7 linked regions of the Oryzias latipes genome follow. The protein of the gene in region 3 purifies or fractionates together with the protein of the main gene of each other region. This does not show direct contact. Links are inferred from orthologs where the notes say so. Each region holds a gene or a part of one and is shown on either strand. Other genes may lie near its edges.

Region 1 (3,432 bases), on a different chromosome or scaffold from region 3:
GTGTCGCTCTTCTTTAGCTCTCGCTGCTCTTGCCTTGTCGCCGCACAGACCCATCTTCAGGAAGCGCCACTGGGAGCTGGGATGTGACACCAGCCCCCAGTCCAAACGCCTCCGGGAGGAGAGCTGCACCCTTTCCCCCGGGTCCAAACATCACAGGAGAGAGATGCTGCGGCGTTGGCCCGTGCCGTCTCCCCAGGAGCTGCTGAGCAGGGCCCCTTACACTCCCTCCAAACGGGGCCCGTCACAGAGCAGAGCTTTCTCTGCAGCAAACAGTCCCGTCAAGCTCTTCTACTAAACACCAAATGAAGAGGTGGGGTCTTTCTACGAGGAGGACATCATGTATAATAAGTCTGCTTTCTGGGGAACTCCTGCTGGTGGGTCTGGACAGCAGTTCCTCTGATTTTAAATCTCCAAAATCAGGCTGGAGGTGAAGAGACCCACAGGAACAAACAGCAGGAAATTGTTTTCCATGTCCAATGTCTTGAAGCATGTACTGAGACTGTTCTATTTCTCTGGGCTTTTGCCAAATTTTTATGTGTTGCTATTTCACTTTGAAAGTAGCCGTTAAATGTTTTTAAAGTTCTGTTATCTGGATGGTGAGGCTGAAAAGCATCAGGTTTTGGAAATTCAACAATTTAGTACAGCGTGTTCTCTGAATGCTGTTTATTAAACATGGTTTTTTTTTACTAGAATGGAAAACAAAGCACCAATGGTTCATTTTAAATTATAAAATAAAGTTAACTCTTTGGTAACAAACTGCTCTTGCATTCCTTACATAAGATAAAGTCCACAGAAGACAAATCACATCCAGGTTTTTTCAGATTGTAAAGACCCTCAGTCCTTAGACTCTAACACACATTTCTAGTTTTGCACAGACTGTGGATCTGCTGACTGGTCCCTACAGCAGCTACCATTCCAGCTCCACTGGATATTTCCCCGTCAGACAGGCGGTGCAGTGGCCGACTCTGGATTTTCTGGAGCCCATCTGGTCCTGCATGGCTGCGACCCCCTCCTGGACGGCTGTAACCAGCCCCTCCACAGTCAAGTACTCCACACTGTCGGCACCTGCACACCCATAGTAAGAGTAGGAGGATCTTCTGCAGGCCGCAGTGCTGCTGTGAAACTGAACACAACGGCTTACCGAGATAACCAGCGATGTCCTTAAACTGAGGCTTGTTGGCGATGAGCTCCTCCTTAGTTGGAATGTTGATCCCCATGTAGCACGGGAACCTGATGGGTGGAGACGCCACCCGGATGTGAACCTGGAGCAACCAAACAGTGGCACGAAACGGTTCAACAGATACTTTTTTGAGGGGGAAACTGTGAATCTGATGCATTACTGCCCCCACAGGCGCAAATTGGGATTGCAGTTTCAGAGCATCTAGATTTGGAGTTTTTCTATTAACGGAAGAGGACTGGCTGGTTTACTTTAAGTAAATGATTTAAATGAGAGGGAAGCAGCCCCCCGGGAAAGGTTTTTCATGTTATTGCAAAACATGGGAAACCTTTAAAAAGACCCACTCTGATGAAAATGGCGTTTTTGGTGTTTCTAACATGACTTTGGGGCGTTTTTCTGATGGAGGGCATATATATATATATGACAAAGACGTAGATTAAAACTGCATTTCTGAGTACTTATTTATTCAAATTATTGAGTCATTAGCAGAAAAAAAAATGCAGTTTGAATAAACTTGTAGTCGTTTTATCAAAATCTACAGTCAGCAAGCTACAAACGTCTGTTTTCCTCGTCTGAGCTGGAGTCTGGCTCTGATATTGCTCGCCATTTGAGGGGCTGGAGAATGTGTAAACAGAGAGCTCTCAACTTCCAGCCAAAATGCAAAAGGTGCATTTGTAATGAACTCCTGCCGCTCTGCAGAAAGTATGTCCTAGAAAACGACAGATTTGTCTGGTGTTGGCCAAAAACGCCATCATAATAAAAAGATCCCTGGGAACACTTTACAAATAGATAAAAGAATGATCAGAGTGGGACTTCAAACATCGTAATTAGAGTTAAAGTCAGTGTTGTTCCTGTAACATCACTGAGCTGCAGATCAAAGCGGCAGGGAAACACCATCTGAATGAGCTTGTATCCGATTTTTGTCAGTCTGTGTGACTGACCTCTTTTGCACCAGCTTCCCTCAGCAGTTTAATGATGGGGGAGATCGTGTTGCCCCTGACGATGGAGTCATCCACCAGCACCACACGCTTCCCTGCAAAGTTGTCCGTCAGAACTCCAAACTTCTTTGCCACTCCCAGCTGTCTCAGGCGCGTGTTTGGCTGAATGAATGTTCTCCCAACGTAGCGGTTCTTGCACAGAACCTCCATGTACGGAAGCCCAGCCTGAGAGGAGAGCACAGGGAGGGGAAATTATGGGAGGTTGGACGGCGTGCAGACGGTGCAACGGCGTTTCCTGGTATGCGAGCTGGGACAGACCTGCTGAGCATAGCCCAGGGCGGCAGGAGTGGCAGATTCGGGCACAGTGCTGACCAGGTCTACGTCTGTTGGAGCCTCGATGGCGAGCTGCCGACCACAGCGCTGTCTCACAGTGTACACCATCTGTCCTGGAGTACACTCGAATCTTAGTAGCTTGGCATACAGAACACAAAGTAAATAAATGACAAACAGGCCCACCTTCAAAAATGGAATCTGGTCTGGCAAAATAAACGTATTCAAAAATGCAGAAGGCAGGGGGGTCTCCCTCAGGACGGGGCACAACATTCAGAGTTTCGATGCCGCGTTTGGATATCCGGACGATCTCTCCTGGCAGGACCTCTCTGTGATACCTGAGCGAGGACGAGAAGATCCGGTTAGAACTGTCAGACCTGCGAGTGTCAGAGGACGCTGCACCAGAAGAACAAACTTACTTTGCACCGATGGACTGAAAGCTGCAGGACTCTGAAGACACCACCCAGCCCTCAGTGTCTTCCTCTCCTGCACCTGAGCGTGGAGCAGACGCTCGCGTCAATCATCCACCTGTATTCCAATCTGACCAAATGGACTATAGCGTTCCCCCATTTATCGCGGGGCTTACGCCCTATAAATAACCAGTGATAGTTGAAATCCCTAAAGCAGGACAGTGGATGTGTTAAGGCTGTGAAACTCCCCGCTACACACTTTAGCCACTTTTCTCAGACTCACATGAACGTTTTCACACTCTAAAAGTTCAAACCTCCATAGAAAAATAAGGCCAGTTTTTGATCGAAGATTTATGCAACTCTGCCAAGCTGCACACATTCTGTCCCGGAGACACGGCACAGGAGAAATTGATCGACAAGATCAACAACCAATCAGGACACAGAACAGTGTGCTGTTGAAAAGAAACAACAAAACACGCAAACTTGGGCTAAAACAAAATCTATGTGGAAGTGAACCACAATATAGTAACACAAAACAATACACAGTCATTTTCTTTGTCAGAATATTCGTTCTGGA
Region 2 (4,030 bases), on a different chromosome or scaffold from region 3:
ATTAACATGCAGCCCTGTTTTTGCATTATTGTGCCTGTTTTGCTTCGAGTTAAATGATGCAAACCTTTTTTTTTCGCCTGGGGGTCAACACTGGAGTTTCCCAGCATTAGTTTTTCAAATGGCACAATATAAAAATCTGTGTAAAGGTTTCATCAAAAAAACGTGATCAAAGATTTTCTCACTAAAGACGAGCGCTCACTCTTTTGTGGAATTATTTCTAATAAAAGAAAATGTTTTTTAAACTAACAAAACAACCATGAATAACTAAGTATAAAAAATAAAAGACAAGGTATTGCATCAGCAAAAATATACATATATTGCAGAGAAGCTATAGATTCAGGGAAAGGTCTTTTGTGGTGCGACTGACCTGAGGTGGTTCAGGAGTGGGTGGAGGCGTTCATCTGAATGCACTGCTGGTAGTGAGCGGGCCGTCAGCTGTGACAACAAATGAGTAATGGTAGATAGTGCTGGTCAAAGATTAGAAAAGCTTAACACCGCTGATCAAGTCCAACCTGACGGATTACGGTACTCGCAGAAAATTGTAAGGATCGGCCTTTTCGCTAAATCAATCGGAACAGCCGGCCGGTGCTCACGCTGCCGTTTGGCTGCCTGACCTTTCAAAACAGACCGTTACGACTTCTGCAAGCAAATTTAACACCAACATCACCTTAATGTGTTTAACTGAAGCCATCCAGTTTGTGTCTGCATGGATTCAGCTTCTAGTCAGTCTAAAAAAGTCCACTTTGAACTGAAATCCTAAAAATTACAAGTTTTAACTCAACCTTCAAAACCTCTTAAATATGTACGGTGCAGCAGTGCAAAGCCACAACAAGCAAAAAGTTATTTTTTAGAGAATAATTGCATTTTAACAGTTAATGGTCTGTTAGTAAAGCAAAGTGCATTTCTTTGGTTTAGTTGTGGCTCTGTAATTGTATTTGAGGAGAAAAAGACACTAAAATTCCACAATGAGGAAGTGTTTCTCCGCAGACAGCACTGGGCTCTCTGAAGCAGCGTTAGTATCCATATAGACCACCAACAGTCAGTGTGAAAACACTGATGCACAGCATTGCTCTGGTTACAACCCAACAACCAAAAACATGTTGGGTACACAGAAGCAGCCCGTCATGAATATGACGTGAAAATATACGGATTACTGAGTCCATACAGGAAGAGCTCAACATTATACAAACATAAATGGTTTTGTGGAATTGACTGTAATACAGTGGGGACTTTATAATTTTTGCTGTAAATATGTCTGTTAATAGGTTTTCTGCAGAACAGTACAGACAGGGGGATTTCCAACATGTTGCTATCATGTTAAGTTACACGGCACTATGGAGGTTAGCCTTACAGCAAGAGTGCCGCTTTAAGCCCCGGGTGGGTCCTAATGTGGCCCTGAAATAGGCTGCTGACCCCCAGCTTCACTCAGACACGAGGGACCGTTTCCAGAAACCCACAGGACCCAACTGAGATGCAGCAGGTACAAATTAGTGGCGTTAAAAATCCAAAATGCTTTTATTTTTGGTTACTGTGGTTTATCGCGGGAGTTGCATTCTAACAATAACTTGAAATATGGGAAATCTGTGAAGTGGTCAACTTTACTTTTTACAATTTATATCAATGTTTTAAGGCAGTAAAACCCCTAACAACACGTTTTATGCTTTTTTTTCCTCTTTTCAGAGAGATATTAACATTGTTACACTTTTCTCTCTTGTTTAGACTCTCTAAGTTCAAACCTTTGTTGAAATATAAGCCTAGAATTATGGAATAAAAACAAAGATCTGCTGGCGTTCAAAAGATTTATGTATATTTGGCAAAATGAACGCATTCTGTACAGGAGACAGAACAAAGATCGACAATGGTGTACAGCCAATCAGGATATATAACGGTACACAGCACACACAGAAAACTTTAAGTAAATTTGAAGTAAGTACATGTTTGACACATTCAAGCTTTTTTTTTTTCTTATAATTAATACACTTCCACAAACCAACAGATCATCCAATAGATCTTTAACAGTAAGAGCAGAAACTCTCCATTGAAAATTGTGTATTTGGTGTTTTTAACATGAACTTGTAGCATTTTTGTCATGAAGGACACGTATAAAGAATATGACGTATGAAAGAGCTCGTAGTTTCTATGTACAAACTACAGCTGAAGATTCTCTGACCGACTGGCTTCTGCAGCGTTCGTAGCGGTTTCTTCCCTTTCATGTGGCTCACCAGCCCGGTTCTCTCATGCTGCTAATGTCGAAGGACTTGGAGCAAAGTCTGCATTTTGCACGTCTCTCTGGTCAGGGTCTTTCCTTAGCCACAGTCGCTACTTCTCCTTGAAAAGCCACTTGTTGTTAAAGCTACATTTCCCAGCATTCCGTGACATTTCACAATCCATGTCTGATAGCAAGTTGAAAGCGTCACGCGCTGAACTGATGACAACTCGACCTGCTTTCAATTCCCGTCACCGATAGCGTAAGATTGAACTTCTGCCACAACTTAAATTCAAATCTCAAGTTAAACCTTTTTTTTACGCTTTTTTGCATCCAAAATATTAAGATTTTATGACTTTTTCAAAACTTTACAGAAGATATTATTTTTTCACAAACTTTTCAAGGACCTAAAATTTGCATTTTCAATTTCCAAAAATGTTCACGACCCATACAAACCCAGAGGCTGGGAAAGCAGCAGCAGAAGACAAAGATGGCGGGCGGCTGGCAATGAAATCAGATGGACAAATCACAGGTTGATAATAAGGTTTCCCTGTTCTCCTCCAATCTCCTGGCTAATCCTGCACCTTTCAATCAATCATCAGGAAACAACTCAGTTTTTCTATGTTTTCCATTTATATGCTTTAAAAATCAGAACCAGGAGACGTCTGCTCAATTGGACCAAACGATTCTGCAGATAAGCTGCCGTCTGGACTCCTCACTCGTACAGAAGCACGTGATTTCATATCCTCTGGGGGCTTTTAGCACAATGCACAAACATTCAGACATGATGTCATCCCAGACAAACATGCCACAGCTTTAAAGCAACCAGGCCTGGAGGGGGGAGTAACAACAGCAGTTGTCCCCGATATCGCCTTCAGACATTTTATGTCATTTGGGCACTTTTTGCTTTCATTCGAACCCTGAGCTTTCCAGGTCCCCTCAGGGCACTAAAGACAACAGCAGCAATTCAAAACCCTGTCTTTTTGGAAACAGCCTCTCCGTAAGCAGAAAAAACAAACACACTAGACACAAATATAATGTGAAGTTGTGTTAAAGCTAAACAAAATCTAAAAAGCACTTGGAGTAATTATTCTGGCACTAATTTGTTGGCGAGTTTCCAGTCTTTTAAAGATGTGCGACAGGATGGAAAATCTAACTACAAACACATATTTGCTTTTGTCTCATTTGTTCCAGATTTATTCAAAAACTTTCATAATTGTTTGTAAACTAAAGAGCAGTTTTGATCACTTACCGCCAGAGCTTTGGAGAGGCGCGTGCGGAAATCGTTGAGGACGATGGTAACGATGTCTTGTTGAGGGACGAATGCAAATCCAGCTTTTAGATACACTTTTCGAGATCGCACTAAATCAAGGGCATCTTGAAAAGGAACCTAAAGAAAAATAGACATTTAAAAATCCAAATAAGCATCAGGATTAGTAGAGTATTCTTTAACCTTTGATGCAGTAATTATTCATCTCCATCATTTCCTCCAATTTATCTCAAACAAAACAAATGGCGACATTTTCCACCTTAAACTGTAAGACTTCTTTTGTTTATTTTTGACTATTGTAAAAAAAAAAAAAAAGATTCCAAACAAAAAATGATCTTTTAATGTAGTCATTTCCTTCATAACTGACCTTGTAGAACTCGAGCTTCTCCACGGTGACTCCACTGACGGAGTAACTCGACATCAGGAGTTTGTCACTCAGCTCATTCTTCTCTTTGTCGCTTAACTGCAAAAAAGTTTTCCAACAATACAGATGAACCTTTATGCTTCATGTAAATCTTTTGCCTTGCTGTTGTCGTCAATTTATGCAGTGATGT
Region 3 (4,743 bases):
ATGGCTCTGCATCTCCTGGGACGGGCAGCACAGAACCCCTTCACTTTGAGGAAGACTCTTACCGGCTTCCCTGGTCTCCATCAGGTTGGTGAGCATGTTGTAGACACACGCTCGCTCTGCAAGCATCAGCGACTGAGAGACAAAAAACAACAACGTCAAGATAGACCTCGAGACAAACGGCACGGAGCAGACCTTTACCGGAAAACAGGAAGTGGAGGAGATCCTGGTTTCTTCATGGAGAACCTCACCTGGACGTGGACGTCCTGGAACAGCGACCTCAGCATGGACACGGCCGAGCCGGGAGGCAGCGCCGCACACTTGGTCTGAGGAGAAACCAACACAAACTTACAAGGAGGCTCCAGCAGCGCCTCCGTCTGAAACCGGGTCCCCCAAGTTTACCAAGGCGAGCAGCCCCCGTAGGACGGGCGGAGTGGTGACGTGATGGTCTTTGAGGCGGTTCTGGTAGAAAGCCATGAGCACTTCCACTGCGATGGGACAACAGGATGTCAACAACGCTCCTCACTTTGAGCAGACGAAAAGGCTTGGTGTTCTGACCTTCTTTCTGCGACAGCTCTGCACGGCCGTCCTGTAGGACCTCGGAGAGCAGCTGGACGCCGCGGGCGCGAGTCTGCGGCTGCGAGCTGGTCAGGCTGGGCCTGCGGGTGGACGGGAAGTCGATTGAAAACAAGAACGGCGTCACTTTTTTGTGTTTTTGTAAAAAAGTAAAGGAGAAAAAGACAAAGGCTCACCCCAACGCTTCCACTAACTGCAAAACTGTAAACGCTCCATCTTTGACACCTGAGCAAGAATCAATAATATGTCAACAAAAGCTTAAATAATCCATATTATACCACGGTCCGGGTCTCAATTCTGATTGGCTGCTTGATGTGAACCATCAGCGTATTTATCGCTTTCCTTTGCCGCTGCAGTGGAGGTCGAAGTAAGAACGCGCCCGCCGCCTTACGTGCAAATAGGACCACGGTAACGGAAACAATGAGTACATATATAGAATAAAGTTGTACAATTCTGAGAAAAATAAAGACAAAATTTTACAAGGAAAAAAAATGTACAAGAAAAAACTTTAAAAAAAGGGAAAACGACAATTTTCTAACATAAAGCTGTAAATGTTTTACTTCAAAAGTTGCAATATTGCAAGGAAATAGTCATACTTTTTCAAATAAGTAAATAAATAAAAGTCTGAATTTTAAAAGGAAAAAACTAAAAACTGATTTAATATGCATTTCTTTTGGAAAATTTTAGGACTATTTGCGTCAAATTTAGACTTCTCTCAGATTATTTTACAGTTCAATTCTCATAATAAAGTTTGGACTTTTTTCCTCATAATTTCACGACTGAATTCCTGTAAAAATTTGAACTTTTCTCTTATAATGTTACAACTTCATTGTCAAATATTTGCTTTTCTTTCATGGTGGCCTCAGTATTCCGTCATAACAGCCTTTAAATAAATATAGTATCAGGGGAAAAACAAACTTCAGTAAATTTGATTGACATAAGTGATCGTTTTATTTTGAAAGATCCCCCTCTGTTTACTTTGGGTATAATTAAAACTCCTTTAATTTGATACGTCATAAGTTATCAGGTCTGTGCTGAATCGGAACCGAATCGGTTCGGTAGTCTGGACGTGTTTCCCTGCTTTGCCCACACAGACAAACTCGGGATCAAAGGTAAATCGGGGGTTGAGGGTTCAATGACAGGATCCTCCTCGCGCCCAGCCAGCAGCTAGCTAGCAGCAGGCACGAGACCACAGCAGACTGCAGGTACAGTCATGGTTTCAGTAAACAAAGATAGCTGCGAGTTCCTGCCGCCCCGGAAAAAGGGCAGATTCATGACATGTTTAGTGTCAGGAGGAGCTTCTCACGCAGCATCCCGCACAGGATGTTGTGACGCTAAGTTTAGCTAGTTAACCCCCACGCACCTTTATGGGAAACTAACGGCTCCAGCTCAGTTTTCCACACAAACCCGCTGGTAAATGTGAGGACAAACACCGGACACGACTGCTGTACCTTTAGCGGCGTCCTTTGCTTTGCTGTCCTGCAATCCGGAGACGAATTCCTCCACCAGAGACAGCAGCAAGGCACCGTCCGCAGCCATCGCGCTTCCTCCACGCTGCTGACACTGCGCATGTGCAGAAAGTTCAAACGCCAAAGTCCAACTTTTTTTTTCTTGGTTAAGAAAAAATATAAATATATTTTTAAAAAATATTGTTTGTGCTTTTAAATAAAATAAATATAGAGATTTTACACAAAAGAACGACACATTTATGTCCAAGACACCATTACATTCAAAGTATCTCAAAAAACATAAACAAGTATAAATGTAACAATTTATTAAGCTTGATCATTTTTGTTTGGTCATAAAGGTGTTATTGGAGATGTCATACTTTTATAAGTGCATTAATTAAGCAGTGAAATATGTTTCAAGCTGGACTAAAAGCTGAAACCGTTTGATAACATGATCTGGATTAAAATCCCAGAAGATATTAAACTACGTAAAATATTTTTTTGTTCATCGTATGACTGCATTCATTCTATCTAAGTTTTCATGTGACGTTATAATAAACTGGAATTCACACGTTTTTGTTCAGTATTTTTTTAAACTATATGGAAAAATCCTAATTTGTTTGGATAAGTTTGAAAAATACCTACAAAAAAGTGAAATATTCATAAGAATCTGTACTTTATTGATAGTATTTTTACTTTGTGCCCTTTTAAAATGTACTTATTGTCATTGTGTATTGTTTTTTCTCTCCTAATATCAAAGACGGTTTGAACCATTATTGTGACGTCACTGCTATCATTTATTTACGTTTCCTTCAGACCCACCTGCCTGGTTGTCTGCGCATGTGCAGAAAAGTTCGCCTGCCTTAGCTCGTTTCTGAACACTTTCTCAACCAGCAGCAACAGAAAGTGAGGAGTTTTTCCAAGTCTTTTGAAGAAAAGTAGTCCGGGAGCGCGTGAAGGGCGTGATACGGTTCTGCATTCAGCTCCGAGTGAAGCTCTACCTCCAGACCCTTTTATAGGGAAGATAAAACTCGGGGAAATGACATCGAGCACGCGGAAGTTTGTGTTTTCTGGCGGAGCTAGCTGGTTAGCCCAGTTAGCCTGTTAGCAAGAAAGCTTTTCTGTTTACAGTTGCAACTAAACCGAACTTTACCGGTTATTCAGACAACAGAAAAAAAGTTGTTAACGGTTCCCACCGGATTTCACCGCCTTGTTGTCACCGGATGACATATCCGGCTAGCAGCGCTGCACCTGCGGGTTCTGATCTTCGCCGGACTCGGTTCTTCGTCGCCATGGGCCCCGTTGGAAGCCAGTGAAGCCCCGCGGGGAGCGACCACAGCCCCTCCGGCCATGGGAGGATGCGTGGGGAGGTACTGGCGAGGCTGGGACGAGTCACAGAGCCGAGGTTCGTCCGGGAACGGTGGGTTCGGAGTTTGCTGTTTATATGACACTTTAGAGTAGCAAATGCAGCAGAGTCATAGAAAAAGACAAGAAAACGAGCTAAATGTAGGTTAATTAAACCTGGGGGGGGGGGGGGGGGGGGGGTATTATTTATGTTCTTATTTGACATTTATCTTCAACTATTTGACACCTGACACTGTTGTTTGACCCTAACTACTATGCAAACGAGCTTTAGCTGATTTGGTTGGACTTGAACCCGGAAAGGACACACATTTGAATGCGTGCAGGTGAGCTGGTACCTGAGGAACCTGTGACTGAATGGATCACGTGATCACGTGATGCAGCAGCGCCTCTGAACGCTGGTTTTAGGGTGCAAACAGGAACGTGGCCTCCTCTGCGTTTGACCTTGACCTGCATAAGAAGTGGTGGAATAGCTGCTCTCCTTTGTTTGCACAAGTATTGTCTGTAATCCGCCCAAAAGTTTGGGAATCTTCTGCAGTGCATACATACACACTCAACGCACATTTATTTGTAGAATGCGTGTATAGAAAGTTCAAAACCTATTGTTTATTCCATGTTTGTGCATCTCTTAACCTGGCGAAAGGTCCGGCTGAAGTTGAAGCACACGAGAGTGTAGAGGACGGTCGACCTGTGAGGCCAAATGCAAAAAAACAAAAGGGAGTCAAACAGCTTGCTTTGAAGGAAATGTTCTCCATTTGAACCTTTGATCGGAGCTCCTGCGGCGTGGCAGGAGTTCTTTAAAATAAAACGTTCGTCGTTCATGCAGGTGGATGCTTAAGAATGGGGCGGAGCAGGAAGCTTGTTTCTTCATCACAAATACGATGTTTTCCAAACCACGTTTTTTTCCGTCTGCTCCCGATTTGCATTGATTTGAATAAAGAAGACACTCAGAAACGGAATTTTGAGCTTCATTTTCTTTCCATTTGTCCTCCCATCATCAAAAGATGCTACAAGAACACGTTTAAAACTCCATTTTCATGGCAGTGCTTCTTTAAGCGAAGATGTTTACATGAATGTGCTTGCACTCTAATTCTACCTTGGTTTTATTTTGAAATGATTTCTATTTTTGCTTTTTTATTTGTATGCTCTTATTTTGAAACATGTTTACAGCAGTCTCTCTGAGGGTTTTGCTTTGAACCTTTCTGTGTTTTTGACAGTGATAGCTGTGGTCATATAAGGTCACCTTGGCGTGTGTCCATATATGTGTTGCGTTGGCGTTTACTCCAGTTTTACAGGATAAAACCAAGTTTTTCCAGGCAGCCACCGTTCACATTGCTTAGAGCATCAAACCACTGGGGCT
Region 4 (4,654 bases), on a different chromosome or scaffold from region 3:
GAAGTGGAATATTCTTGAATGGCCAAGTCAGTCACCTGATCTGAACCCAATTGAGCAGCATTTCACTTGTTGAAGACTAAACTTCAGACAGAAAGGCCCACAAACAAACAGCAACTGAAAGCCGCTGCAGTAAAGGCCTGGCAGAGCATTCAGAAGGAGAAAACCCAGCATCTGGTGATGTCCATGAGTTCAAGACTTCAGGCTGTCATTGCCAACAAAAGGTTTTTCAACCAAATATTAGTAATGACCATTTTGTTTTCAGTTATTTGTCCAATTACTTAGGAGCCCATGAAATGAAGGGATTGTGTTTAAAAAATGCTTTAGTTTTTCAAATTTTAATGCAATCTTTTTGTTCAACCAATGGAATAAAAGCTGAAAGTCTGCACTTCAATGGCATCTGAGTTGTTTTATTTAAAATTCACTGTGGTAATGTACAGAAACTAAATGAGAAAGAATGTGTCTCTGTCCAAATATTCATGGTCCTGACTGTATGTTCCTATCCTCACCAATGCACAGCTTTAGGTCATGACTAAAAAGATAAGATTCAAGCGGCTGAAAGGAGTTTCCTTCACAGCGTGGTTGTGGTTCTTTTAGGGTGAGTAGCTCGTCCATCCAGGAGCAGCTTTGAGCAGCGCCGCTGCTCCTCCACATCAAGAGTTCAGGAGGTTCATTCATCTCTTTCAGATCAGATGCCCCCTGGAAAACTGCCTGGAAGGGTATTCCAGGGATGTCCCACCAGGAGGAGGTAACGGGGACAAGCCAGGACGCTCTGGAAAGACAGACTCCTAGATGAGCTATAAAAGTCTGTGGAAAGGAAGATCAAGGTATCTCTGCATGGACTGCTGCCCCGTGACCCAGCTCTGGATAAGCAGAAAAAGATGGATGCATGTGTGGATGGATGAAATGTACAAAAAGTGATATTTATGGCTGCAGTATGAACTGACGGTTTGGTGTTCAGACTGTATCTGAGAACTGGACTGAGTCAGTGTGACATCACCCACAGAAAACAACTTACTTCCAGCTCCAACCAAATGAATTCAATTCAGTCGCCGTTTTTCCACGATACAGACACCGCCATTTGGAGCCAGATAAGGTTAGGAAGCAGTGGTTGGTCCGAGTCAGTATGAATCAATGTTTCTATGGCATGAGGTGCCATAGGAACCTCTCAAAATGGTAAATAGACCAACAAAAACTGTAATACAATATAGAAACACCAAAAAGACAAGAGCAGAGGCTGAGATAAGTTCAGATTTCAGCCCATCTCCACTCTAACAATGTCTCTAAGAACAGAACTGGAACTCTCTTCCACCATCATCAGACAAGAACAAGAACAAAGATTTAAATCCAACTCTTCTTTGGTTGCCAATCAGGAGTGAGCTTGTTTGAAGTCCACGCCCCCTTCCACCTAAACCAGGCTCTTGAGAATCAGTCAATCAAACTTTACAGACGCTCGAGGTGGGGGCCAGCAGGCATCACATGCTTTTATTGCAGCCTCTGATTGGCCAGTTTATGACTTCAATAAATATAAATAACAAATAAATAATATCATGGACAAAAAAAAAAGATTAGTGAGGAGATGTTAAAAAGGGTGTCAGATGAAGAAGTCTATGGAATTTTGGCTTCTTGGTGCCAGCAGGTACTTCCTGTTTGCAATGCGGAGTCAGTGTGAGTAGCCTGTTGCCATGGTAACCGTTTTTTCCCCCCTCGTCACTTGGTGACTTTGACTTAACCTGATTAAAGATTGGTGAAAATGTAAACTTTTATTAAATTATGAACGTTCAAAGAAATCCAAGAATGCTGTTAAAGGAATAACAGAAACACAGAGACCTCCTTCAACGATCATCTACCTTGGTTGGAGCTGCTCTGTGTGCACATCCGCCTTCATTAACGCTGTGTTGATTCTATAACCACCGGCCGTTAATCTTGGATATCTCAGCCTCTTTGTTTAGGCTGGACCCTTGAAATGAGCTGTAGTCCTGGTCTGAGTGCCTGTTTTCCATTGTGTCACAGTCTACTTTAGTCGGTCAGCTGTTGAAATAACACTACAAATGTATTATTATTGTTGTTGTTGTTTACTTTCACAGGAACGTTTAGACATAAATGTTTCATACTGAAGTCGGCTTCCTAATCAAAGCTTCTGATTGGTGAGGACACTAAAAAGGAACCTTCCACTGTATTTATCACACTAACACCACGTGGGACCAGGTCCTGATCAAAACCCTCAGGACCTGGACTGATGAATCCTGGATTACAATATGCATTAGACACTAAAGAATACATTACACACGGTTTCTGATTTATGAAACATTTATCTGGTTTCTGTCATTTCAAATAGGATGATTGTATGTAATGTAGTTGATACATTTAGAATGCTATAGATGTTTTGTGCATCAGTCTGATCTTTGTTGTGGGGTGAGAGATGGCAGAAGACACTCAAGAGGGGAGGCAACAGAAGTTCCAAACAACAAACATCTATTTTTAAACACAAAACACGCTGCGAGCAGGAAAGCCACAAAAGCTTTAAAACAATTGTAGAAAAAGGAAAGACAGTCTCTCCGACCGTCCATTGGGGTTTAAAAACTCTGTCCACCTTTCTGAAGCTACGGCTCACGTCCGACACCAACGTCGGAACCACGGGGACCCGTCAGTGACTCACCTGCTGCAGACACTGGAGCACCTTGGCCATGTAGTCCTTCTGGCAGTCATAGGGAGGAAAGGGGAAGTCCACCGTGACTCCATGCAGGGTAAGTGACGGCATTTTGGGCCCCGGGAAGCGGGTTCCAGCCGAAGCTCTCTGGGCTTCCGCGCGCCTCAAACTGCCGTCAGAAACCGACTACGTTTACCGGAATGCTAGCTGCTCTGGCTTCATGCTCGGCGAATAACAGAAGCTTCGCGCCAGCGTCGCTTCAACCCACTGCGCACGCGTAGTAAAATGGGACGTTCACGTCCCTTCAAACGTCGGAAGTAAAGCCTCCGTCCTTTCAGATTAAAGATCGTGAACGATCCTACTGGAGTAGAAAAAAAAAATAAACGTAGCTTTCCTCGGGTTAACATGTTGAAATTATGTCCAATTGTCTGAGCAGAGTCCTGAGATCTGAAGATCACATGCTTTTAAGGAGTCGGCTGGTGACTCAGAGAGACCGAGCCTTTTCAGTTGCAACTCCTAAACCAGGGATGTCAGACTCATTTTCACTGAGGGCCACATCAGCATAGTGTCTGTCCTCAAAGGGCCAGATATAACTTATACCTGTAACTAAATGTAATGAAAAATAGACCTAACTACTCCTTAATGTTAAATAACTCATTTATTTATTTATTAACTTTTTAAAGTGACAGTTGCATTGAAAACATGTCTAGTTGTTATTCTAGCATAAATCCTTTTACATTTGATTCTGTCAGGTTAGGTTATATGGACAGTGTTTCAGTCCTAATGTATAGTTGACCAGATCCCCCCTAGATATGAATAAATACACAACAATTTTGTTTTTATTTGAAGAAATTGAAAACTTCTCTTGCGGGCCACAGAAAATGACATGGTGGGCCACATTTGGCCCCCGGGCCTCGAGTTTGACACGTGTCCTAAACTCTGGAATGTTCGTCTCTTTTCTGTGAGGTCTGCCAGAACCATCAGTGATTTTAAGACACTTTTAAAAACTCATTTTTTACTCTGGTTTTTAACTCCAGCGAGCAGATCTAGAGGGACAGCTTGTTACTTGTATTCTTTTATTAATTGATTTGTTTTTTGGTTGTTTCTTTATTGCATCTCATTGTTTGTGATTTTATGTTAAACTTTGGTTGCCTCTGCTTTTCTAAGCACTACACTAATAATAAATTGATTGATTGAACATCCACCAACTAGAACCATCAAGAATCCACACTTTCAGTAGTTGTCAGGAACACAGCAGGAGCCATCGCTCCAATCCCGCAGGTCGAAAAGGATTTCTAAAGTTCAATCTCGTGTAGATTTCCAGGGTTAAAAACTAACCAGTGAAAGCCTAAAAGCAAGGCCAAACCTCATCTCTGATCACCTGCAGACCATGTCACAGCTGCAGATGTTTGACAGGTTTGAACACGCGTGACAGCCTTTGCTAAAAACACAGCTGAAGAGAAAGAGTCATTTTCCACAAAAAGCACAAACTCCAACAAAAATGGTTTATTATATTATCATGAAACCGATCAGGAGCAGAGCTACTCCTCCCTGGATGAGGGCAGGATGATCTTGCTGGGGTCGTAATAGTTCTCCTCGATGAGCGGCAGGCCCTGCTGCTCCCTCTGACAGATGATCCGCTCTGCTTCTCTTCTGGCCCACTGCCGCATCCTGCAGAGACGGGAGACCGAGTTCACAAACCAGACGCCCGGCAAGGATGGAGGAACGTCCGGCCAAAGGTTTTCACGCCTCTGGCTGACATGCATGGCTAGAGGGATGCTCTCTGCATCAGCATTGTTTCAACCGTTGACCTTTCTTGTTGTTTAAATTAAGTTTGTCATGTAGAAACTAAAAAAAACATCTCATTGTTTGGGCTCTTAAGCTGAGAAAACCTCTGACAAAACCCCAAATTTCTTTGAAGTCCCACTCTGATCATCTGTTGATCTATTCTCAAAGCATTCCCAGTGGTCTTTTAATTCTGCTGAGGCCATTTTTAGCCAAATACAA
Region 5 (4,660 bases), on a different chromosome or scaffold from region 3:
GCATCTTTAAAGGTTTGCTTTTAATCCTTAATTTGAAAGTTTGACAGTTGTTGTTTTTTACATTCTTGTATGACATTTGCATTTTTGTCAAATCTGGCTTCATATTTATATGAATTTGTCTTAATGACTGCAAACTTTCTGCTCCTTTTAAGGCATAATCACCTGTTTTGGGATGGACACTGAACGGACTCTTGAGCAGATGGTTCACCCCTTTGCTGACGTTCACGTCGAGCCGAGGGTAACAGTACTGCAGCATGATTTCTTTTTCAAAGTGTTGGCCTTTTTTCACAGTACCCTAAGAAAAGAAAAAAAAACAGACGTCCTTCTGCACAAGAAAAAAAGATGTTATAAAATAAACCTATAGAAAAGTACAAACCTGCTTATTCTTAGCTTCATTTTTTATCATTTTCCAGAGTTTTTCTGGTTGCTTCACACCTTTCATTTTGGTCTGCAATTCATTTCTGACATGTTTTTGTGTATTAAGGTTGTAATTGTTTTATCTTATTGGCTCATATTAACACAAAACTTGTGACTTAAAAAAAAGGATATCTTCAGGCACAAGGGCCAGCACTTTGTCCACACACTCCTTGCGACCCAGTATGTCTTGGTCCTGCACCGCGTATTCCAGAAAGTATTTCTCCACCACTTCCAAAGATGCACTGTTAAGATTACAAATGTGGGAAATCTGAACAAACTGAAACCTAAACAGAAGAAAATGTTCAATTCTAGTAAAACAGAACAGTTTGATGCTTTAAAAATGGTTAAAAGTCTCCAAAAATAAAAGATTCACACCATTCACTGATGTGGGACTGCAGATAAAAATAGAATGCGTTTGAAACATTAAAATGTGGGTTATTACCTGATAAAGGGATGAATTGGATCTGTCAGGACCACTTTCTTCACCGTCTCCTCACCGCCCTACGAAGCAAACATGAGTTCAATAAACAGAAACTGAAAAAGAGAGATTTACAGGAACTGCATGAAAATGTATCAACAATGTTCCCTTATTTATGGAAGTTTTTTTTCCACCCATAATTCAAAATAATATTCAATTCTCAATCAACAATTAAATTTGCAATTTGATCATGCAATTTAGAAACGCATGTGGCAGATGAATATACCAAACTGACAAATGTTTTGCAGTTTCTTTAGAATTTTGACAGAGAAATATCACGGCAAATAGAAAAGCAATAGAGTTTATGTTAAATTAGGATGAATGTAAAACAAACAAGTAACTGAAATATATATATTTTTAATAGTGATTTATAAACTGGAAAATGTATTTTCAATATGCATATCCAAATTCCACATTGAATTATAAATTGCAAAATCCATTTTTACTTGTAATTTTAATTATGGTAACAAAAACCTATGACTAGTGGTTTTTATTTCAAATTACATTTTTAAAAATGTAACATTGAATTCTTATTTTACATTGAATTTACATTTTAAAATGGCAAAATGAATTGTCAGTTGGGAACTGAATGTTACTACGAAGAAATCTTCCACACTTGTCTCTATTTTTTAAACAAGCAAACCTCTTTCGCTTTTGTTTTTATAAACTGTTAAATTAAACCCATTTGCACCACATTACCTTGACCAGACTGAGGTATTCTGCCACAGCGGAACGTCCTGCGGCAGAGAGCTTCCGGGCAGCTTCATCACACACCCAGCAATGCACTCCTCTTCTGCCGGAGTAAACCCACAGCAAGTGCTGGAAACCAAAGTCGTCTGGAAATGCCAGAAAGCAGACTGCGGCTTCAAATAGGTGTGGAGCAGTGAAAAAGAGGTGAAGAGACACTGAAGACAAACCTCGGAGAGCCCTGTCCAGAATGTGAATGGCGATGGTCATCAGCGTCCAGCACTTGGAACAAATATCTGCAGCACTACAAGTGAAGTTTTGACATATTTAGTACATTTATGGAGAAAGCAAAGACATTACAAAGTAATGGCATATCAATAGTTCTACCTGCAGCAGGTGCGGACATCATCGTAGTCGGTCATGTCAATGTCAAACACAAGCTCCTTCTCCAGAGCCTGGAAGCTGCCAGACTTTACGGTGTTGTGTTGGTTAGGCTGCAGGTGTAAAGGAAGCCATCAGCTCTTTCTGCATGTCTGCATTGATGCTCAGAGAAGCAACATCAGAACCACGGTTACCAACCCTGTGACTGTAAACTGCTCCAATGTCGATCTTGTAAGGGTTCATCTTCTGCATTTCCTTCTCCAGCTCGTTCTGCGTGCTGAATGACTGGTAGCGAACATAGATGTCATCCTTGAGAGTGAAGGAGAACTCCCGGTTCTGAAAGTAGTTTTTTTGCACTGAGGAGAAAGAAAAGCAGGAAGAAAGAAAGATCTGTTCATTTTATGAAACCAAACACAAGCTTTAGCTCAAACATTCGCTTGTTATTTTGACCAAATATTCAGCTAAATTAAACCATGAATTAGAATTCAACTTACAATAATATAAGGTTCTACTAAATAGATGTGTTTTAAAAAAACAAGTGGGAGGATTATATATATATTTCATAAAATCCTAATCGATGTCAATGTTTGGGTTTGTTGTTGTTACACAATCAGCTCTCAGATATCCTGTCAGCGGCTGAATAAACACAATCGATAACTTTAAGCACTCAATATTTGACAGTCTTTAGCGGTTTAGCATCCCAACATTAACTTCTTCTACATTCCACAGCGTGTGTTTGTTTATAACACTCACCTCCGCCGTAGTTCAGCCAGCGATAATATTGTGAGAAGGGGAACAGTCGCCGGTAGTAGAGCGGTAATAAGTCTGGGAGACAAGCTGGGTCGTAGTCTGAATACGACATTCTCATAAAGCTACAGCTTTGACAACAATTGTAAATGGTTCAAAAATACCAGCGAGACGCTAGCTTGTCTGTTCTTCTTGCTAAAACGCTCACTGTGGCGTTTGCTTGCTGCAGAGCGCGCGGGAAAACTTAGAACAGAAACAACCAATCACAGGGGACTTCCGTTCACGACGTCACCACAACCAGGAAATGTCCGTGCATCCTCTTTTCTGAAGTGACGAATTAGAGAAGGGTTATGGGAAATGTAGTTTAGTTGGAGAGATACATCCGAGGCGTGTAAAACTGAAACAATTTGTGCTGTTTTTGTTTAAGGATAGCACTCTTGCAAAAATATATAGTTTTAAATATGTTTATCTTTTATTTGTTTATTTTTAACTGTCTATAGTTGTTTTTGCTTAAGTATGTCCCCGTTACAGCTCTACACCATTGACTGTGTGTGTGTAGTTATTTCTACGTGCAGTCAATGCTCTGGACACAGGAAAGGAAAAAAGAAATAGATAGATAAAATTTATTACAAACCAATAGTTCAATCATTCATATAAAACCACACAAATACAATAGAATAAAAGAGGCCAACTAAAAATAAAAAGTCAAAAAAATCCTTATTAAAAAGGCAGAAATAGAAGTAAGATATACAATAAATCAATATTATTATTATTATCCAAAACCTAAATATGGTTTTATGCTATTGTACTTGGTTTCCTTGTCAAACTGTCATGAACAATAGACAATCAACAATAAATAAATAATGACAAACTAACAAGTGCTCAAGTTTTGAAGTTATATTTTCTAACTGACTGGAAAAAAAATCTTTCTTTTCCCCCTAATTGTTGAGCCATATAGACATTTAAACTGGTGAGTAGATTAAAAAAATAACAAGGTAAAACTTTTACGAAATTGTAGGCAATTTTCTGCTTTACTGTGAAAAATTTGAATGAATAAAATACTGACATATCCTACAAAAATGACGTCTTGCTGTGTTTCGTGTTCAGAAAACATTCTCTGGTGGGTCATAAAATATACATCTTTTAAGTGTCAAACATCCAATAAGCAGTTAATTTTGGACGAAATTGTAACTCTTTCTTTTCGAAAGAGATCCTTGAATTTGTGCCCATTGAGAGACTCCTAAAAAATGTTTTAATAAGTATTTTACCACTGAATGAATATTCACAACTTATTTTGCCTTTAAAAAAATTGAATCTGTAAATTCAATACGGGCCCAAGTCCAAGAAGTTTGTTTTTCCAGGAAATTATTTTAATTGCATAGCTTAAAGGGAGGCAACACTAAATGATTAATACTTTACCCAGATTTAGCACCAGATCACAGTTTACAAATGCTATAATATGAAGCACCTCACTTTTGTAATTTCAGAGGACTAGTAAACTAAAGTCTCTGGACGTGGGCCCTTCTTGAATTAAACAGAAGTAACATCTGGAAAGAATGGACAAACCACATATTTATCATCATGAATCTTTATTTTTCAAACTGTCACATTCTTAACACTTCTTAGGATCAGTTTCTATCCAAACCCTTTTTCTGCTACATGATAAGTGCTAGTCAGATTTGTTTTCCTCCTAAAATGGAACAGGTTATCAAAAAGATACATCTGATCTTCATATTGAGACTCGTCATTGCCCCTAGTATCTCAAACTCTTAAGTCATTGAGGAACTGCTGAGCCTCTGGTAAAAGATATTTTGCCAACCCTTGAACATCCTTTACCTTTGCTGCCTTTACACCAAGTTGCCCAATTTCCTTTGCTGCTTTCACTTCTTTTTTGGTATTGACATATTCCTTGCCTTCAGCATGTAATCGTTTTTGTTTGTTTCTGGCCCA
Region 6 (4,030 bases), on a different chromosome or scaffold from region 3:
AGCCTGAATCGATTCGATTTAGCACTTTTACACTGTTTACACATTTAGACATATTTGTATAGAAATGTAATAATAATCTATACATGTTTTAAAGATATTCGCAGTTCACGTAATGTAAAACTTATTAGTGAAATAATAAACCAATGAGATTGTTAAACCAACAGTGTTACACAAAAAGAGAAGCTCCAACAAAAATGTGCAGATCAATAACATTGTAACGGCTCTAAAATGATTCATATTACAAAATGAAATGTTCTGCCTCTCCTGGAGAGCGTTTCAATGTGGTCACTAGGTGGAGCACGCGCTATAGCATTACACTTTATTCCAGAATATTTGAGCAAAAAAAACGGTGCTTTAGACCACATATGGCTAATTAAAAAATTGTTTCCTTTAAAAACTTTAGAAAATGTATGCCTGTGAGTAAATAAAGCTGTTCATTTAGTCAGCAATGTATGTTTAGGTCGAACAAGCGCTAGCCGTCCTATGGGAAATTCCATTATATATACTCAAGTCCCCGGAAAAGTAAATGCATAAAAGATCGATCTCTACTTTTATGGATCGATGATTGATTTATTAAGCTTGAATCAATTCAGATCCATTAATCGATTTTATCAAGCCAGCCCCACATCTACTCAACAACAACACGTCTAATGTTGTCTTCAAGCCCCCCTATCCAATGAAAATGGTCTTTTTGGTGTGTTTTTTACATCTCCTTGTAGCATTTTTCTTGTGATAAAGGACATGTGTAAAATAATTTAAAATGTAAACTGTGTTTCTGTGTATTTCTTTATTCAGTTTATAGTGGATCAGGAGCAGATTAAAAAAACGTAGTTTAAAAAGTCTCTCAGTTTTGATCCAGCAACCGAAATGGTTGGGCCACAAGCTCCCTGCTCTGCTCCATTCTGATCATCCACTGTCAGACAAACAGATCCATGAACGTCTTTGTTTTTCTCATCTGAGCTGGAATCTGGATCAGAACTGTACGGCTGGAGCTCACCCTTTTTGTTTCACCACTAATACAAGGTTGGGGTTGTGAGGGGCTGCAAGACAGCGGGGGAGAGTATAAACTAAGGGATTATGGGATATCAGTGGAGGGTTATTTCCAGCTCAGAAGTACATTTCTGATAAACCTCTGTTGCTCTGCAGAAAATATGTCCTAGAAAACAACAGTTGTTTTGAAAAATTGGATTAAAATGTTCATAACCATAATTAAAAAGAGCACTAGGAACACTTTGACAATTGATAAAAACGTAATTGGAGTGGGACTTTAAACTTTAGGAGAACATGAGATACTGAAAGTGGATTATCAGCTTCTCTCTTCAGGCCTGAACATTTCTGCTATTTCATGGTTAGACGATGACATCCAGAGGACAAAAATGGAACTGCCACAAGAGGAAAAAAAAGTTGAAGCTTATGAGTCTTGTTGATGTCATATTACAGGTTTTCATGGATCCATTTTAAAATTTCATTCTCCCCCCCCCCCCAATATGAGTCATATTTTTATGTCAGGAACCTGGGATTTGTTGATGACGTGGTTGGCCTCAAGCTGAATGGAAAATTTCACCCCAAGTTCAGAGGAGAAGGATCCCATGGGCGACAGTGTTCCTGATGTCAACACAATGCTGCGCACTGAGCCACTCAGGTCAGAGAAAGCCTGGGAAGTACAAACAGGATGACATGGTCAAAATGTGTGCTGTCATGCAATACATTTTTTTGTCCGATTAATTTATCATGACCTGTAATTAATAAATGATCTGTTTTTAGCCAGAGTTATTTTCAACGTAATAATAGTTGTAAAAAGCCTCACTTTCAGATATCATCATTTAAATTCATGACATTGTGGTGCAAGAAAAGATCAATGTGCAACTAAAAAAAAATAACTAGCTTTATGAAGTTTTCCTAATAGAACAGACTACCAACTTTTGCTTTTACACATACAAGGTGTGAACAAAACACAAGAACTAAACATCAGGTCCAGAGTGCTAAAAAATTAGAATAACAAGATTTAAAAAAATAACGCGATAACTTGTCTGTAATCAATTAAGTGAGGGTTAATGGCGGACGGAGTGTGCGTTATCACTTTTTAAACACGCCGTGGAAGCCTGAACCGTCCGACGCGAAGATGAGGATGGTTGCTTCAGCGAAGTGCGTTAAAAAGTGATAATGCACATTTCGAAGGCCATTAACCCGCTTATACCATGGTCACTTAAAAAAGCAATACATAATTAACCAGGTTTTAGTCCTTAATTCTTGTTTTTTTTTTCGATTTGGATCGCTTTTCTCACAAAGCAGACTATTTTTTACGCACCGCATCACGTAACAAATAGTCCGCGTCGCGCCGCACCACCACTGCAGTCAAGATTCGGCGCTATATATATGCTGATCTTTCCGATGCGTTGAATAAAGTATCAGCTCAGAGAGAAAGTTCAGTGATAGAAAACATTTAAGCTAGGTGACCGGAAATTCTTTTTTCACCGTGCGTTATCAGGTTTTAACGCACATCTAGCAGCCAATCAGAATCGAGTATTCACCCGGAACATGGTATAATGGTGATTAACCCGTTAATTTGACAGCACTAGTCAAAATCTCGTCTGTGTGCTTCCTCAACTGCTTGCCGCCATCATTAGAAGACAGCAGAGGCTTGCATGCAGAGTCTCTCACCACAGCGGGGTTAAGGCACCAGAAGCTTAGCGTCAGGATCTCAGTCTTGACTCTGGCAGTCTGGCGGCGTCGTGGTCGGGGCCGGACCAAAAAGCCTTGGGCATCCGGGACATCAGGCGGGACCTGATTGGTCCATGAATAGCTCCTCTGGAGAGCTACTTTGTAATCCTCAGCAAACCTGCAGGCATGCAGAGCTTTCTTCAGAGTTTGTGCTGTGAGGAACTGGTGTGATATGAAAAACAGAGCATGAATTTGTCTCTGACCGGCAGTTGTCCCTGTAGAGGAAGTCGAGCACCATAAAGAGGTTTTTCAGGACAGTGGACGTCATTGAACTGATGGTTGGGACTTGCACCATGTCTTCCTTTCCATGAACCAAGCCCACACGCTCTTCCTTTTCCAAAACAGCTGCAAGATTTTGCTATAACAAAGAGAAACAGTGGAAGAGCATCTGCACAATCAATGACATGGACAAACGGCTTCAAACAAGACTACCGGTACAAGGATTAGGGTACCTTTAGAATCCTGAAGGTGTCAGCTGTAATGCCCAAACCATAAAAGATGCCCAGTATGTCTTTCCCGCTCCAGACTTTACTGGCACTTTCATATCCACGCTCAGACAACAAGACCTGGCACTCTTGAATCCAGCTGCAACACAACAGAAAATAAAAGTCAACTTTTGCAAGATGAAACAAGAGCATCGGCAAATTGATCCAATCGATGACTGACTTGATGAGAGCGTAGCAGAAGTCCCTGAGAGGCTCGTGTTGGGAGCGTCTAATGTTGTTTTTGACCATGCTGTCCAGCTCTTCTCTGCACGTCTTCAAGCTGCTCTCATCCAGAGTGAAGCTGGTGCTTTCCCTTGCACAGTCCTCAATGTTGTGGGCTTCATCCAGGACCAAGATCTGTCCTGCCAGATCTATTTCCATCTAGTGAGAATACAGAGTTGAAAGAAAGAGAAAAGTATCAGTTAATTCCTCGTGTCTATACTACATCCAGATACAGAAAACCTGTGAATCCAGGGAGGTGTTTCCTCTCAAACCCATTTTTCCTCAACACAGACCAATGAGATGCCTGTAAAGCATCCAGATAAACATTGATAAAAACTAGTTAACAAGAGTTTGTGCTGCAAAGGTGATCTAACTAACCTGATTAATAAGGACATTGGTTTTTCCTTAACAAAGAAGTACCCAAAAACTAAAACGTGTTCAAATGAGATTACAGCTGCAACCGAAAATGTGTAAAAACAAAATGTAGGTTTGTATTTTCATATAGTCTATTCCACTCTGTAAAGGAATAAACTTCAAAATGACACATTTGTAGTCTGCTGTTTTCTGGGGTTTTGATTTGATGTCCTTGTAGTTTCCACACT
Region 7 (4,702 bases), on a different chromosome or scaffold from region 3:
TCTCACCTCCTGGAAGTCTTTGTTCCTGGGCCATCGAACAAGAGTGAAGATGAGAAAAGCAACTTTTTGTTTTTTTTGTAAAAAGACACAATTTATATAGGTGAGCAAACCTTAGAGTTTTGTAGGTGAGCTCCTTTACTTCTTCTCCAAAGAGCTGCTTAGCAGCATAGGTGAAGACGTGATGGAGGTAACCTCCGGATCCACTGCCAGCGTGGCTCAGGAGCTCATCCCCACAGACGCTGCTGAACCTGAGGGTAAAAATAGGCAGCATCAGAAGAGTTTTGAGAGATAAAGTTTTCTTAAAAAAAGAGGGAACTTACATCGAATCAAGAGTTCCAGGCTCAACATCATTCAGAGAAATATGATGTTCCTCCAGCATTTTCTGAACCTCTCCTGAAGAGAGGACAGACAAATAACCATGTGGATGCTGCATATGCACCTAAGTATTACTTATAAGGGTAATTACTGTACCAGACGTTATGACACAATCCACTTCTCTGGTCTCCGCTTTGTTCATAAAAAAATCTGAGCGTGACGCTTCGAGTTTCTTGTCGAAGCAGGGCATCACAGCCACATGGTAAATCTGCTGAGGACTCAGCCCCTAACAGCACAAACAGATCCAGCTCAGTTAGTCTTTATTGAAATATTTACAGAACGGAGAAATCCAAACCCCACCTGCTTTTCTGCAAAGTGGCTTTTAACCAGAGACCCCATCATCTGCTGGGGGGAGCGGGTGGTGCTGATATATGGGAGAATATACTCCCCGTGTGTCTTCTCTGCATAGCAGATCCAACCTGAACACACATAAACGCACACTTTGGTCTGAATGGAGTTCAAAGCGTTTGATGCACCAACTATTTCATTCCTAACCAAAGCCTATAGAAAAGTTGTGCTAATTGTCTTTTTTTAGTTTTAATGAGAGCTGCTGTCACAGCTTCAGTCATGAACTGGACGGTCAAACATCGCAAAGTCAAATGTGAGTCAATCCCAAACACCCTAGCAAATCATTAACAGCATGGTGGGGTGGGGGGTGGGGGGGGTTGAGCTGCTACAACAGCTCAGCAAAAGTCCTGACCTCAACCTTTCAGAGACGTTTTCAGAGAAAAGAAGAGCGTAAACTGATACCCTTAAAAAACGTCAAGGACCTGAAACAAAGTGGTGATACTGAGATTCCGATTGAAAACTCTGTCTAAGCTTTTGGAGCTAAAGATAATGTCATGAACATTCACTATTAGGCTTTGATAAATATATAAAATACGAAATAGAAGGCCTTCAAAAACAAAATAAATACACAAATGTGGTTTCCGTTCCACATTCAAATCAAGCTAAAAGCTTTCAAAGAAGTTGTGAAGTTTTGGCTTCTATTTTCTATCATGGAGCTCTATGTCCGTACCTGGACAGGCGGAGGTTAACATGGGCAGAGCCTTGTTGTCCTGTCCCTTCCTCTGGAAACGTTCCACAAACTCTCTCTGACTTTCCAGCAGACTGAAGGTCCGACTAAAGCTGGTGTCAAACACATAGTGAACCCCTGTAAAAAAAAGCGACCATCTTTCAGACACGTACACAGCCACTGCTTCAACTTGATTTATGAAACATTAAAAGAGGGAAACGTTACCCAGGTTTTTGAGGAAAGAGGTGAGCCTCCTTCCTGCCTCACTGCTGCTGATACCAAAGTGTGCAGCGAGGGACGCTCTGGACTGCGGGGACACGGACACCACCACAGTCTTCTGCTCTGCTGCACCCTGTGGGGGAACGAAGACTTAAGCGGAACACAAACCCAACCATAAGTAGACAAACTGAGCAAAACACTCTACCTTGTTGTTCCGAAGCACTTTTAAAAGCTCCTCGGGGCTCTGCTGAGTGATGAGGACACTCTCAGCTGAGGTGATGCAACCGCTGCACGCCAAGCAGTCGTTCAGTGAGATCTTTGCTTTTTCCAGCTTCTCCTTCCCGCCATCCTTTCAACACAAGACACTTCCATGAGCATGATACTAAATTATTGCATTTGGTACTCTGACAGTCTGCTCTATGAAGTCCATTCATGATTCAAATACCTCAGACTAAAAGGCAAAAATAAGTGTGAATCCTCACCTGGTTGACTTGGACATAACTACCATCATCCTCTATCTGTATTCTGGCCACAGATTTGCCTTGTTTCTTCTCGACTTTTATTGGTTTGACACATTCCTAACGAAAAACACAGATATGAAAAAAACAAAAAGGTAAACAACCGTTGAACCTGATACGTAGTTTCTGTCAACATGCAAAAATGGGATGGGAGAACTGTAAGCAAATTTACACCACAAAAGTCAGAATGATCAGAGAGCTTAGATTTGATCACATTGAATTAGTAATAGTTTATCATTGACCAAATGTAGGTGGAGAAAACAAGGCCTTTAAGTGTTATTTTCGTCTTGAGAAGTCATAAGTTTGGAGGGGATACAGGGGCATCATTCAAGCATCTGGGGTTACAGGAGCTCAAAACAAAAGTCAGTGGCAACAGGATGAATGACGAATACATGAAGTAAAGACATGTTTTATCCATGTGTTTTGACTTTTGTCTGTTTGAAAGTCCGATCAATACTGCAACTTCTTTCCATGTTTTGACATCTGTGTTACCATTAGCAAAACAAAAGCTAACCGATTCGTTATTTTTGCTGCCAATGAATTGTAATTTTAGACGAAAGTAATATATGTAAAAACTAGAAACGAACACTACATGTTTACTAACGTAAAGGCTAACTAGAATCTGTTTGTTTTGGTTTCTTCTTCCAGGAACAGCACTTACAAGAGCAACTACCACCACCAGAGCATGCTAGCTTAGCTCCCTAAGAGCGAACTGAGCTTTTAGCATTTTGATTGGGAAATAAGCGAAACTCCTCTGCTTGTAATGTCCTTCTAGAATAAACTTAAGTATTATTTTTGACACTGACCTGGGAAGGGGTGATAAAATCGTCCAGATCTGTCAGTTGCAGTACACCGCTGAAGACAGAGGCCATAGTTACTGCCGCAAACCCGTTGTTTACTCTTGTGTCGTGAAATGCTGGTCTGGAAGAGCACGTTCAGGCTCCACTAATAGTAATAGTTTGCCCCATTCTCTCATACAGTCAATGGGTTTGCCATGCATGTTCTGTATGTGCAACATTTGTCAACTAAGATAAAATAAGTAAATACATTTTTTTTACCACAGTATCTGGTAAATACTTGGGTTGTTTTATGTTGTATCTATTCAAATCGTATTCACAAATCACAAAGGCTTTTTTGTGTAATTTAATTTGCAGATTTGCAAATGGATTATATCTTTGTAATTTGTCAAAAGATTTTTTCTATTAGTTAGAACAACTTTTAACTTGATTGTGCTAATTGTTTGTATTTGCACAGTTTCTTCTGTAGATGTAATATTTTTTTTTTTAAAGTTTGCATTTTATTAGTTATATGTCAAGTGGAACACACAAAAGAACCTGTATTAGAATATGTTGGTCACTTAATTAGGGACAAAATATAAATACAACAAAGGAATTTTGGTCAGATTGTAACAACCTATACTGAACAATCTAGTACAACTTTAGGGGAAAGTCTGAATAAAACAACATTGCTTCATTCAGTTTGCTTTTTGTGAAGTGCCTTGAGAGAATCTTGACAAAAAGATGTCAGATGCTCATCCTAAAATATATCATACAGTAATTTGAAGAGTCTTAAATAATTCAAGAGTAATTTTAAAAATGGAATGTTTTTTAAATAGAAAATCTTTGTGGTTTACACTAAGAGGTGACATTTTATTCGTGATGATGGTTGTGTGTTTGACATACTGCATCTCTATGTAGTAAAATGTGCATTGTCAATATAAATGCCAATATTTTTACTATCGCTATTGGAACATTTATAGAGTAATATTTTTTCAAAAATACAAATGAAATATAAGTAAAAATCCAAATATAAATGACGACAGCTTTAACGATTTTATCACGTTTTCTTTCAACAAAAAAATAATAAAAAATAAATAATAATAATAATAACAAATGTATCGTTTTTTGAATGCCTTTTTATTTTTGTGGTTAAATGTTTCGTTTATTATTTTATCTTCTGCATGCGAGTGCATGCGCTCTTTTGTTGTTATGACTACAGGGTCGTAAATCCGCCATGTTTTCCCTCCCCAGCACAGCGTTGCGACAGAGACGGAGAAGTCAAACGACATGAATGCAGAAAATAATCATACGGCAGAAACAGAGAAGGAGCGAACGACGAACGGCAGTGAGACTATCACCATTCAAACCACCCTTGGAGATGAAGGTTAGTTTTCAGCCAGTTCAAAACACTCCCAAAATCAGGGTTTTTTGTCCGTAGTTTGGGCCTTGCTAACTTCCTCCATCGCGAAATTGTTGCTAATTCGTCTTTAGCAACATCTAGTTTACGGCTTTGCTGCAGGTTTGAGTTGTCAGCGGCCTTTTTAAAAGATGCCCAGATAAGCAGGTGATAGCTTTTTGGTGCTAGATAGTTTTTTAAGCTAATGGTAGCTAAATATGCTTCGTCTTTGTGTTTTTAGACGATGTACACAAGTGTGGACGCTGTCAATCCGAATTTTCCACGCTTGAAGCATTTATCCAGCACAAGTTACATAACGACTGTAAACGGGTGGAGACTGACCACACTGCTAATCAAGAGGTATGTGCTAAATCTGGAACTATGTTTAAAGTATTGATGA

Evidence for each region.
Region 1: the proteins of mms19 (region 3) and ppat purify together in Homo sapiens (affinity purification with mass spectrometry; 3 studies listed by BioGRID and IntAct, with this or other methods). This does not show direct contact. The link is inferred for Oryzias latipes from reciprocal best matches to the Homo sapiens genes MMS19 and PPAT.
Region 2: the proteins of mms19 (region 3) and prim2 purify together in Homo sapiens (affinity purification with western blotting; 5 studies listed by BioGRID and IntAct, with this or other methods). This does not show direct contact. The link is inferred for Oryzias latipes from reciprocal best matches to the Homo sapiens genes MMS19 and PRIM2.
Region 4: the proteins of mms19 (region 3) and rtel1 purify together in Homo sapiens (affinity purification with western blotting; 4 studies listed by BioGRID and IntAct, with this or other methods). This does not show direct contact. The link is inferred for Oryzias latipes from reciprocal best matches to the Homo sapiens genes MMS19 and RTEL1.
Region 5: the proteins of mms19 (region 3) and prim1 purify together in Homo sapiens (affinity purification with western blotting; 3 studies listed by BioGRID and IntAct, with this or other methods). This does not show direct contact. The link is inferred for Oryzias latipes from reciprocal best matches to the Homo sapiens genes MMS19 and PRIM1.
Region 6: the proteins of mms19 (region 3) and brip1 purify together in Homo sapiens (affinity purification with western blotting; 3 studies listed by BioGRID and IntAct, with this or other methods). This does not show direct contact. The link is inferred for Oryzias latipes from reciprocal best matches to the Homo sapiens genes MMS19 and BRIP1.
Region 7: the proteins of mms19 (region 3) and narfl purify together in Homo sapiens (affinity purification with mass spectrometry; 3 studies listed by BioGRID and IntAct, with this or other methods). This does not show direct contact. The link is inferred for Oryzias latipes from reciprocal best matches to the Homo sapiens genes MMS19 and CIAO3.

What each region holds. Positions count from the first base shown.
Region 1 is NC_019862.2:3,972,108-3,975,539, forward strand, and holds the end of ppat (amidophosphoribosyltransferase), read right to left. Parts: intron 2,938-3,432; coding exon 2,865-2,937; intron 2,784-2,864; coding exon 2,632-2,783; intron 2,562-2,631; coding exon 2,434-2,561; intron 2,341-2,433; coding exon 2,119-2,340; intron 1,263-2,118; coding exon 1,142-1,262; intron 1,066-1,141; coding exon 908-1,065; 3' UTR 649-907; downstream 1-648. Other genes in the region: uncharacterized protein LOC101171480, read left to right, coding at 1-295. UniProt on the Homo sapiens protein: Catalyzes the formation of phosphoribosylamine from phosphoribosylpyrophosphate (PRPP) and glutamine.
Region 2 is NC_019873.2:24,447,060-24,451,089, reverse strand, and holds part of prim2 (DNA primase large subunit), read right to left. Parts: intron 3,940-4,030; coding exon 3,844-3,939; intron 3,597-3,843; coding exon 3,459-3,596; intron 436-3,458; coding exon 368-435; intron 1-367. UniProt on the Homo sapiens protein: Regulatory subunit of the DNA primase complex and component of the DNA polymerase alpha complex (also known as the alpha DNA polymerase-primase complex) which play an essential role in the initiation of DNA synthesis.
Region 3 is NC_019877.2:1,649,296-1,654,038, forward strand, and holds the start of mms19 (MMS19 nucleotide excision repair protein homolog), read right to left. Parts: upstream 2,952-4,743; 5' UTR 2,844-2,951; intron 2,137-2,843; 5' UTR 2,113-2,136; coding exon 2,025-2,112; intron 799-2,024; coding exon 750-798; intron 657-749; coding exon 556-656; intron 486-555; coding exon 400-485; intron 324-399; coding exon 249-323; intron 133-248; coding exon 63-132; intron 1-62. Other genes in the region: ubtd1 (ubiquitin domain-containing protein 1), read left to right, coding at 3,372-3,441. UniProt on the Homo sapiens protein: Key component of the cytosolic iron-sulfur protein assembly (CIA) complex, a multiprotein complex that mediates the incorporation of iron-sulfur cluster into apoproteins specifically involved in DNA metabolism and genomic integrity.
Region 4 is NC_019865.2:31,300,998-31,305,651, forward strand, and holds the start of rtel1 (regulator of telomere elongation helicase 1), read right to left. Parts: upstream 2,930-4,654; 5' UTR 2,759-2,929; coding exon 2,657-2,758; intron 1-2,656. Other genes in the region: ndufb11 (NADH dehydrogenase [ubiquinone] 1 beta subcomplex subunit 11, mitochondrial), read right to left, coding at 4,189-4,318. UniProt on the Homo sapiens protein: A probable ATP-dependent DNA helicase implicated in telomere-length regulation, DNA repair and the maintenance of genomic stability. Acts as an anti-recombinase to counteract toxic recombination and limit crossover during meiosis.
Region 5 is NC_019865.2:19,076,789-19,081,448, forward strand, and holds the start of prim1 (DNA primase small subunit), read right to left. Parts: upstream 2,962-4,660; 5' UTR 2,832-2,961; coding exon 2,717-2,831; intron 2,320-2,716; coding exon 2,162-2,319; intron 2,077-2,161; coding exon 1,970-2,076; intron 1,887-1,969; coding exon 1,813-1,886; intron 1,732-1,812; coding exon 1,595-1,731; intron 919-1,594; coding exon 860-918; intron 660-859; coding exon 550-659; intron 469-549; coding exon 377-468; intron 296-376; coding exon 163-295; intron 1-162. UniProt on the Homo sapiens protein: Catalytic subunit of the DNA primase complex and component of the DNA polymerase alpha complex (also known as the alpha DNA polymerase-primase complex - primosome/replisome) which play an essential role in the initiation of DNA synthesis.
Region 6 is NC_019871.2:30,042,381-30,046,410, forward strand, and holds part of brip1 (Fanconi anemia group J protein), read right to left. Parts: intron 3,588-4,030; coding exon 3,388-3,587; intron 3,307-3,387; coding exon 3,174-3,306; intron 3,080-3,173; coding exon 2,925-3,079; intron 2,840-2,924; coding exon 2,662-2,839; intron 1,655-2,661; coding exon 1,514-1,654; intron 1-1,513. UniProt on the Homo sapiens protein: DNA-dependent ATPase and 5'-3' DNA helicase required for the maintenance of chromosomal stability. Acts late in the Fanconi anemia pathway, after FANCD2 ubiquitination.
Region 7 is NC_019866.2:12,257,167-12,261,868, reverse strand, and holds the start of narfl (cytosolic Fe-S cluster assembly factor NARFL), read right to left. Parts: upstream 3,058-4,702; 5' UTR 3,000-3,057; coding exon 2,934-2,999; intron 2,188-2,933; coding exon 2,092-2,187; intron 1,959-2,091; coding exon 1,815-1,958; intron 1,743-1,814; coding exon 1,616-1,742; intron 1,529-1,615; coding exon 1,394-1,528; intron 795-1,393; coding exon 676-794; intron 602-675; coding exon 472-601; intron 394-471; coding exon 321-393; intron 249-320; coding exon 111-248; intron 26-110; coding exon 1-25. Other genes in the region: transcription factor E4F1, read left to right, coding at 4,194-4,290, 4,544-4,662.